Macaca mulatta: one gene and its partners. The protein of the gene in region 3 interacts with the protein of the main gene of each other region in a pairwise test. Links are inferred from orthologs where the notes say so. Each region holds a gene or a part of one and is shown on either strand. Other genes may lie near its edges.

Evidence for each region.
Region 1: the proteins of ZMYND19 (region 3) and LZTS2 interact in binary tests that used the Homo sapiens proteins (3 or more experiments, as listed by UniProt). The two-hybrid records come from large-scale screens. The link is inferred for Macaca mulatta from reciprocal best matches to the Homo sapiens genes ZMYND19 and LZTS2.
Region 2: the proteins of ZMYND19 (region 3) and SAXO1 interact in binary tests that used the Homo sapiens proteins (3 or more experiments, as listed by UniProt). The two-hybrid records come from large-scale screens. The link is inferred for Macaca mulatta from reciprocal best matches to the Homo sapiens genes ZMYND19 and SAXO1.

What each region holds. Positions count from the first base shown.
Region 1 is NC_133414.1:113,067,077-113,070,725, reverse strand, and holds part of LZTS2 (leucine zipper putative tumor suppressor 2), read right to left. Parts: coding exon 3,016-3,649; intron 1,704-3,015; coding exon 1,446-1,703; intron 692-1,445; coding exon 8-691; 3' UTR 1-7. UniProt on the Homo sapiens protein: Negative regulator of katanin-mediated microtubule severing and release from the centrosome. Required for central spindle formation and the completion of cytokinesis.
Region 2 is NC_133420.1:80,266,894-80,270,121, reverse strand, and holds the end of SAXO1 (stabilizer of axonemal microtubules 1), read right to left. Parts: intron 2,051-3,228; coding exon 1,047-2,050; 3' UTR 649-1,046; downstream 1-648. UniProt on the Homo sapiens protein: May play a role in the regulation of cilium length. Stabilizes microtubules at low temperature.
Region 3 is NC_133420.1:4,866,507-4,869,853, reverse strand, and holds part of ZMYND19 (zinc finger MYND domain-containing protein 19), read right to left. Parts: intron 2,859-3,347; coding exon 2,718-2,858; intron 1-2,717. UniProt on the Homo sapiens protein: May be involved as a regulatory molecule in GPR24/MCH-R1 signaling.

The DNA of each region.
Region 1 (3,649 bases), on a different chromosome or scaffold from region 3:
GAGGGCCCTAGATCTCAGTAGCAGTGATCTCCTCCAGGCAGATGCAGGGGGCCTGCTCAGCCAGGCCCAGCTCCGCAAGCTCCCGGGCCTCCAGCTCCAGGCTGAGCTGCTGCAGCTCCTGCTCTAGCTGCCGGTTGCGCCGGTACATCTGGATGTAGTTGTGCTGCAGCTGCTTCTGGTAGCGGATCACCTGCTCCTTCTCTGCCTGCCAGGCCAGCCGCTCCCCTTCAAAGCTGTCCCGCTGCTCCTCACCCCGCCGCCGCTCCCGCTGCAGCTCCACCCGCAATCGCTCCACCTGGGCCCGCAAGCTGCCCCCAACCCCGGCTGCTGCCCGCTGCACTTTGGCCTCATCACTCTCTGCCAGGAGGAATGGGTCAGCGGTGGCAGGTGGCACAGCGGGCTCCCGGAGTCCAGCCGCCTCAGCATCCAACTGCCCAGCTTTCTCCCGCAGCCGCTCGGCTTCCTGGCGGTGTCGCTGCAGCTCCTGGGAACAGGCTTCCAGCTCCAGCTCCCGAGCTCGGGCGGCCTCCTGTAGACCCCGCGCACGGCCCTCACTGACCCGCAGGGTAGCACGGGCCTCCCGCAGTGCCACCCGCAGGGCCACCAGCTCGCTGCCCTTCTGCACCAGCTCTGCCTGAGACTCCTTCAGCTGCTGCTTCAGCAGGGAGATCTCGCCTGATTTCTGGCACACCTGGGGGTGGGAGGCAGTGGGGAAGGATGGTGAGACAGGTTCTCCTGGGGGGACAGGCCCTGTGCATCATGCTGGGCATTCGGGAGGAGAGTCCATCTTTATCCCCATTTTATAGATGGAGACACTGAGGCAAGTCTAGTGACATGTCCAAGGTCATAGAGTGAAGATGTGGCTTAAGTGGAAAGCAGACATAGATTTTTTTGCTTCAAAGTTGGTGTCTTCAAAGCATCACGAGACACTGTGGAAGTACCACCGAGCCCTGGGGACTGGGTGCTGGCAGGTGCTGCAGGAGTGGGGGCAATGGAGGGCAGTACCCAGGTGTCTACTGGAGAGGTACTACAGTGACTTGGTTAAGAGCTCAGATATTGGAGCCAGACTGCCTGGGTTCAGATTTGGCACTCCAGTCTTTCTGGGCCTCAGTTTACTCATCTCTAAAATGGGGAGACTAGTGGTAGCCCCCTCAGTGTTGTTATAAGGATGAAATGATCTGTCCCATGTAACATGCTTAGAAGAGTGCCTCCACACCACAAACACCACATTCTTACTACTGGCTGGAGCGTGGCTTTGTGCCACTAGACAAGGCCAACAAGGAGACCCTCCTCCCAGAAAGGAACAGAGGAGAACTTCATCTCACGGAGGTGAGGAAGGGGAGGACCTCTGGGGGTGGCAGGCTGAGGGAGGGTGCGGCTGGGCCCCTTTTTCCAGGGTTTCTCCCTGTGTGACCCTGCTCCCTGCCCCTCCTGGTCTGGCCCACCTCCCACTTGGTCTCCTCAAGCCTTGGCCCGAGCTCCCGCTGCTCCCGCTCCAAGGTGGCGCAGCGCCGCTCCAGCTGTTCACGCTCCTGCAGCAGCTGTGCAAAGTCATCCTGCAATTGCCGCTTCTCCTGCTGCAGCTGGAACACCTGCAGCTGCAGCAGCTGTTGGGCCCGCTGTGCCCGCTGTGCCTGGGCTGCACAGTCCTCTCGCAGGGCCTCGCGCTCTCGCTGCCAGTGCCGCTGCCGCTCCTCGTATGCCTGCAGGCGAGAAGACAGACCCAGCTCCTGGGCAGTTTTCCCAACTCCCCACTCAGTGTCTGCCTGGCGGCCCACTTCTGAGGGCTCAGGAAGGGTGTATTCCATCAAACAACAATAGTAATTGCAACAATACTAACTGCTTTTATAATGATCATAGAAACAAACACAAGAGCAAGCAGACCGGGCTCGGTGCCTCACGCCTGTAATCCCAGCATCTTGGGAAGCCGAGGTGGGTGGATCACTTAAGCTCCGGAGTTTGAGACCAGCCTAGGCAACACAGCAAAACCTTGCCTCTCCAAAGAACAAAAATTAGCTTGGTGTGGTGGCGTGTGCCTGTAGTTTCAGCTACTTGGGAGGCTGGGGTGGGAGGACTGCTTGAGTCCAGGAGGTTGAGGCTACAAGGAGCCGAAATCGCGCCACTGCACTCTAGCCTGGGTGAGAGAATGAGACCCTGTCTCAAAAAAAAAAAAAAAGCACTTGGCCGGGTGCAGTGGCTCAGGCCTGTAATCCCAGCAGTTTGGGAGGCCGAGGCGGGTGCCTCACTTGAGGCTAGGGGTTCGAAACCAGCTTGGCCAACATGGTGGGAACCCCGTCTCTACTAAAAATTCAAAAAAAAAAAAAAAGCAAGCATTTATGTATAGCATTTCCTAGATACCAGGCATTAGTCTAAGCACTTTACACCTTTTGCCTTATTTAATCCTCATAACAATCCTATGAAGCTAGAAATATCCCTGTTATAGATGAAGAAATAGAGGCTGAATAAAGTTAAGCAACTTGCTCAAGTCCAAAAACTGGTATTTAGCAGTGGGAGGTTTGAATCCATGCACTCTGACTCCTTTCCACCCCACAAGTTTTGTTTTTTGTTTCTTGTTTTGAGATACAGTCTTGCTCTGTTACCCAAGGCTAGAGTGCAATGGCAAAATGTCAGCTCACTGTAACCTCCTCCTCCTGGGCTCAAGTGATCCTCCTACCTCAGCCTCCCAAATAGCTGGGACTACAGGTACATGCCACCACACTCAGCTAATTTATTTTTAGGAGAGATGGGGTTTCCCCATGTTGCCCAGGCTGGTCTCAAACTCCCGAGCTCAAGCAATCCGCCCACCTCGGCCTCCCAAAGTGCTGGGATTACAGATGTGAGCCACCACGTCTGGCTATTCCACAAATTAAACCAGACAACTGGTGGGGAGGGCAGGGGGGTCACAACTACAACTACCCAACCCCTCTTCCCTGCTAAAATGGAAATGCCCCTTTCATTCCCCAGGCCTTGGGATGTCCTGCCATGCCCCTTCCCCATCATTGCCTCTGACCACACCTGGCACATGGTAGCCTCATTCTCGTCCAGACTGTCCCGCAGCTGCTGAAGCTCTGCCTCCCGCTCTCGGAGCTTTCCTTCCAGGACACAGTGCAGCAGGGCCTCGTCGGAAGGAGGTGGAGGCGGGGGTGGTGGTGAGCGCTCCCCACAGGAGCTGCTGTCAGGGGAGGCCCGGGTACCACTGCCCAAAAGCCCGGCAGCCACACGGCCCCCCAGGGAGCCTGTGCTCTTGCTGGAGGAGGACCGGCCACTGTCTGAGTGGGAGGGCCCAGTAGGGACCCCTCGGGCTGGCCCAGGCAGTGCCCCTCGCCCAGAGCCATGGGAAGGCAGGTGCCCGCCTGGGGAGCTGGTGGTTGGCTCGGCACCTCCGGTGCTGTAGGTGGGCAGGCTGGACAGTGAGTTTCGGCCAGAGTCGGATAGCGTCCCTGATGGGCAGCCACTGGCCCAGCCACTAAATGCCAGGGGTTTGTCAGCAGCTGAAGAGGAGGAGGAAGAAGAGGAGGAGGAGGCAGGGCCCCCAAACAGCTGTGTCAGGCTGCCCTGGCTCCCAGACAGCCCGGTGGCCCGAGGACCCATGAAGCTAGGCAGGGACGGAGCCCCTCGAGGTTTGGGCAGCACTGGCTTGAAGGCTGTT
Region 2 (3,228 bases), about 75 Mb from region 3:
TATAAATAAAATAGCTTTAAATTACTTGGCCTTAGAAACAAACGTGGTAAAAAACCTTAGGCTCAAGAGAGAAACTCCAGGGTGGAATCTGGCTCACCACTGGGTCTAACTTTGCCACAGGTCTGGTCACAGCTGTCATTTTAGGACAAGCACATCCAGGCTCTCCAGAAACCAGGCCAGCCTGGGGCAATTTCTTCCAGGCTCTGAGCATTTAGAAGAGCCCACAGCTTTTGCTCACAGCTCAAGGACCAGGTGTTGACTGCCTGCTTGCCAAGGCTGCTTTTTCTCCCTCCTCTCCCTGGAATCATAGCCTGTACTGGCTTGGGGTTGGGGAGAGGTCTGGTAGGTTCATGCATCCCTGCCTCCCTTTCTTTCCCTCCATCACCTGTGACCAAAGACATCCACACCCCATCGAACAGCAGTATTCTTGCTGGTATGTCATGCAGTGAAGAGGTAGAAGGATGCTTTGTGAAGCAGCCCTGCACACAGAGAACCCAAAACAAGACACCAGACCAGGCCCAAGGCACCTCCACCAATACTGACACACAGTGGGGATGCTAACGTAAAATTTCCCAAAGGTCCCAAGCAATACAGACTAATGTCTGCACAGCCAGCACATGGGTGTAAACACACAGAGCTACAGATTCATTCCCCCCAAAATAAAATTTATTCTTTGGTGCTTCATACTTGGCAAGGGTTAATCATTATGTCCGTTCATACAATGATTAAATTAATAAAATACATCTGGATTAGAGAAAACCTCAGAGACCAATTTTGATTCCATAAGCACAAAGTAAAGAACCTGAAACGGAGTGGGGATGCAGTAAAGGAGAAGTTAAGGGGCGTTAATTAGCCGGTGATTAAATGTCATTTTCCCTGAGTCAAGTAATTCTCATTTTATTCAAGTGCTCTGGAAGTGGTGAAGGTTTTTTTTGTTTTTTGTTTTTTTCTGTCATTTTAGGGAATTCTTTTTTTGTCCAACAAATAATTCTCAGTTGTCTGCTTTTAAAAGTACTGTGTAATTTCTAAATTACAATTTTTCAAAATCAGGCTGACACTTCCAACTTCCTCTGGCTGGGGTTTTCTGAATCATCCACAGAAAGATGGCTGCTCTGCTGAGAGCCTGCCTGGGAAACCGGCTTGTATATCCTGTGCCCCAAAGCATCCACTTCCTCAAAGGTGTAGCCAGGAGGCTCAGGATATGAAGCTAGGCACCTGCTCATTTCCTTGGGAGTAAAGCTGATGGTGTAGGTGGTCTGGCCTTCCACAGGGACATTTCCTCGAGGGCCAGACCAATGAGGCTTACAGCTTTTGGTATTGATAGGCGGGTGGGGCACATAGTGGGCCCGAGTGGTGGTCAGGCAGTCCAAGGGCTCGGTGGGAAAGTCCAGCTGGGGAATGGGCTTGACTGGCTCTGTGCGCATGCTGGACCACTGCTTGTAGTCATCCTTGGTGGTGGAAGAGCCTTCAAAGCGACCGCTTTTCCTAATCTGAGGTGCAGGTCGGCAGGACCGAGCTGGGACACCCTTAGGGTATGTGTAATGGGCCTGCACTGTTGTCAGAAGATCCATGCTGTCTTCAGGAGGGACGTAGGTGATGGGAGCTTTGGAGAACATCTGGGGCGTTGGCCAAGCTTGGTACTTATCTCGAAACTCAGTGGTGTTAGAGAAAGGCATGTCTAGCCCAGGGGGCCTGGCTAGAGGTTTCAAGCTCTTAGCAGGCTCACCCATCAGGCCCCGATAGGATTGTTTATGAGTGGTAAGGCTTTCAAAGGGGATTTCACAGGGCCTGAACTTCTCTGCTTCGTGCACAAAGCGCTTCTCCACGGGGTGGGCCACGTAGCTCATCTTGTAGTTAGTCACATCCTCCAAGGGGATGTTACAGAGCTTTGGCATGGCCAGAGGTTTACAGCTCACAGTCTTCACAAGGCCTTTTATGGGGTAATCGTCCTGGTGTGTGGTCCTATTATCAAACCTGACTGATGCTGGCTGGTATTTGTGTTCCAGACGAAGTGGCTGTCGCCTTGGTTGGTTCCAAGGCAAATAATCAGCTGAAATTAAAGCAGAAGAGGTAATTAATAATAAATCAAGTCAACCAACTTGCATATATTCTACAGAGCCCGAAGGTCATAAGCCAGTCTCCAATGAAGTAGTCTTTGAGACAAAGGAACGACAGAGCACATCCCTGCTACCACTTGATATAGTGGGATAGGCAATTCACAACCCACCACTGGCGGGCCACCAGCCAGACGAACCAGGCCTACCTGGTCATCTGTGGGGTGACAGCCCACTGTGACCCTGTAATCCTCACATCTAATCCACATATATCAAATATGCTACTCCAAAGGAATAGGGCATTGTATTGGCTGGTGAGAGAAAAGTGGCTGCCACTTGTATAAAACTTATTACATAACAGGCAGTGTTCTAAGTGCTTTATATATCAACTCACTTAATCTTCAGACTGTCCTAATAAGGTGGGTACTATCAATGCCAGTTTTATAGATGCAGAAACAGATGCACAGAAAATGAGAGAATTTGTCCCAGCTCACTTGGCTAGAAGTGAAAAAGCACAAATGCAAATTCAGACCCAGAGCCCACGATCTGACCCACTCTACTCTCTGGTTCTAACAATTAAGGAATACCAACTACATGTCAGTCAATTGTGCTCAAGTCTTTCCATACATGATCTTGTTTCATCTTCACAATAACCCTTTGTGATGGGCATGATTCTCTCCATTCTACAGATTTCTAAAACAAGGCTCAGAGGAGCTAAGAAACTTGCCCGAAAGTCACATGGCTAGCGAGTTAAGTTGGAATTTAAACCGTATTGTTGACTCCAAAGCCATGTTCTTCTGATACCTCATATCACACACTTAAGGGCATTATATTTCCAGATAGAGTAAAGGTGAAAGAAAAAAATAAAGGGAAGATTTGCAGGAGGAAAAGAACTTCAGAATGTTTGAAGAATGAAAAGAATTGGCCATTCTAGATGTCCATCTCAAGAGGAACCTCTGCTGTGGGGCTAGAACTGCCAACACAAAGGGAGGCCTGGACTCCAAGGAAATATGCAGTAGAGATGGCCTCCAGGCATCTTGAGGACCAGACACTGTCTTCAGACAGCACTGTAAGCCTTTGAAACTGACTTTATCACACAGACCCTCAGGGCCAGCACTAAGACTGAACGTCTAGGTAAGAAAAATGGGACGACAAACCATGTGATTCAACTGCC
Region 3 (3,347 bases):
AACGTACCCTATTTTGTTTCAGCCAAATTGAGCTGTTTCTGTTTCTTGCAACCCAAAGTTCCGGCTAACATAATCCCCGAAAGAAAAAAAAATCCCATCCAACAATCATAAGAGGATTGGCGTCACTCACAAGCAGTATGAGAGAAGGGTCAAAACTCTAATATCAGAGCAGGGACCGGGCATGGTGGTGCACACCCGTTATCTCAGCTACTCAAAAGGCTGAGGCGGGGCCAGGCGTGGTGGCTCACACCTGTAATGCCAGCACTGTGGGAGGCTGAGGCAGGCGGATCATCTGAGGTCAAGAGTTCAAGACAGCCTGGCCAACATGCCGAAATCCTGTCTCTACTAAAAATACAAACGTTAGCCAGGCGTGGTGGCGGGCACCTGTAGTCCCAGCTACTAGGAAGGCTGAGGCAGAACTGCTTGAACCAGGCAGGCAGAAGCTGCAGCAAGCCAAGATCGCGCCACTGCACTCCAGCCTGGGCGACGGAGCCAAACTCCGTCTCAAAAAAAAAAAAAAAAAAAAAAAGGCCGGGCGCGGTGGCTCGAGCCTGTAATCCCAGCACTTTGGGAGGCCGAGACGGGCGCATCACGAGGTCAGGAGATCGAGACCATCCTGGCTAACACGGTGAAACCCCGTCTCTACTAAAAAATGCAAAAAACTAGCCGGGCGAGGTGTTGGGCGCCTGTAGTCCCAGCTACTCGGGAGGCTGAGGCAGGAGAATGGCGTAAACCCCGGAGGCGGAGCTTGCAGTGAGCTGAGATCCGGCCACTGCACTCCAGCCTGGGGGACAGAGCGAGACTCCGTCTCAAAAAAAAAAAAAAAAAAAAAAGTGCTGAGGCAGGAGGATTTCCTGAAGCCAGGAGTTTGAGACCAGCCTGGGCAACACAGTGAGACCCATCTGTAAAATTAATTAATTACATTAAATAAACAGAGCAGGGAACAAAACCACTAGCCCAACAAGAACGAGAGACACCGCAGGCTCTGCCTTCATCCTGAGAGGCCCAGTGAGGAGGGGATGGGGGAGACTTGCAGGACTCCCTCCAGGGTGGCAGGAACAGCAGTTTGGGGGTGGCATTTTGGAGACCTGGGGACTGTCCCCACATCACCAACCAGTGTCTCAGGTGCTCCCACTGTTTCCACCTCGGCTGCACGGGGCTCTAGCATGACCCTGAGGTGACAACTGCAAAGATTCTACCCACAGCCACCAACCATCACCAAGCCCAAAACACTAAACCTTACCAGCGTTGCTGATAACCATCTGCTAGGGCAGTTCGCACTGCTTGCACCAGGAAAGGCTGCCCAGAGGCTTGAGGACATGCCCAGAAGCCCCAGGGCGACTGGGGAACATGTCAGCGAAGCATGTGTGGCTGGGGACTCTCTGGCTCATCTGGGTTCCCAACCCCCATCCTGCTGGTCCCTTGGCTCTTCCCAAGGGCTCCATGAAGTTCACAGCCTGGCTGATTCTAGGGCCAGCAGGAACTGCCCTCCCACGTGGGAAGCCCATGCAAAGCACTGCTTTCAGGATCACAGGCAAGTGGGGGGCCAAGGGCTGAGCCCTGAACCACACATTCTCTGCTTTAAACTTTTGCTTAACGAAAACCGTTTAGCAAAAGAACACAACAAAAAGACCCATCTGTGTGCACAGAAAGGAATCCTGAGATGAGGAGAGAAGGGAGGAATCCTGAGGTGAGCAGAGAAGGAAGGAATCCCGAGGTGAGGAGAGAAGGAAGGAATCCCGAGGTGAGGAGAGAAGGAAGGAATCCCGAGGTGAGGAGAGAAGGAAGGAATCCTGAGGTGAGGAGAGAAGGGAGGAATCCTGAGGTGAGCAGAGAAGGGAGGATTCCTGAGGTGAGCAGAGAAGGAAGGAATCCTGAGGTGAGGAGAGAAGGAAGGAATCCTGAGGTGAGGAGAGAAGGGAAGAATCCTGGGGTGAGAAGGAAGGAATTCTGAGGTGAGGAGAGAAGGAAAGAATCTTGAGGTGAGGAGAGAAGGGAGGAATCCTGAGGTGAGGAGAGAAGGGAGGAATCCTGAGGTGAGCAGAGAAGAATCCTGAGATGAGGAGAGAAGAATCCTGAGGTGAGGAGAGAAGGGAGGAATCCTGGGGTGAGGAGAGAAGGGAGGAATCCTGGGGTGAGGAGAGAAGGGAGGAATCCTGGGGTGAGGAGAGAAGGGAGGAATCCTGGGGTGAGGAGAGAAGGGAGGAATCCTGGGGTGAGGAGAGAAGGGAGGAATCCTGGGGTGAGGAGAGAATCCTGAGGTGAGGAGAGAAGAATCCTGAGGTGAGGAGAGAAGGGAAGAATCCTGAGGTGAGGAGAGAAGGGAGGAATCTTGGGGTGAGAAGGGAGGAATCCTGAGGTGAGAAGGCTGATGCCTCCCGGGGTGTGGGGCACAAGCCCTGCTCACACCAAGTCCCAGCGCGGGCCCTGCCCTGGAGCAGGCAGCCCTTCTCCCCGCTTTGTCATGCCAGCTAAAGGGAGGTTCCCAGAGCCAATTATCAGAAGAGCAATGCAAAAACACATACCAAGATCCTTCACGCTCCCATAAAGAAAAGGAGGATTCCACACTTTGGGGAAAAACAATGAAAGTCCCAAAACACACAGAAGCATCAGGGCTCAGAGGAGGAACACGAGACCCTCTTGGAAACAAGAGCTTTGGAGGTGGCCCTCCTCAAAAGGCACCTCTGCCAGCATCACCGGGCCCTGAGAAGACCCACCTCTGTTTGCTGGAGGTCTCTTCAGCCTTGGGCCGCCAGCCCCACGGCACCAGCTGCAGGTTGTCCAGGCGATTGTCCACAGTCACAGCGTTGAGGTGTACCACCTGGAAGCCCGGGGCCACGCCCCCCCGGTGCCGCTCCCTACAAACAGACAGCAAACCCTGCATCTAACCCTGCATCGCTGCCTCCCACCCTCACAGATAACCAAAGTCCTCCAGGAAGAAACGTCAGCCATGTGATCTGATCAGGCCCCTGCTCCTCTGGAGGAGGGTACCTCAGGCGGAAGCTGCCAAGAGAAACCCAAGCACCTGATCTGTGGCCCAAACAGGACAGGGATACAGGGAGGACCTGGGCCCTGGACTTCGGAGCACAGACAGCCAAGGGTGGAACGTAAAACCACCTGAGCAGATGGCCTGGAGACAGCTCCCCATCTGAGTGGTCCCCACCATGCACACCAGGGGGCTCAGCAAAAAACCAGCAAGGGGAGCAACCACCGTCCCTCCAGAGGCCGCCAGTCCCGGGCAAGCTTCCAGCAGAAAGTCCACTTGGTGTTTGAAGCGTAACATACAAATCATTCATTCCTTTGAGTTAGTGGCAAAGCACACAAAAATAACTGCGAGATTCAGGGAA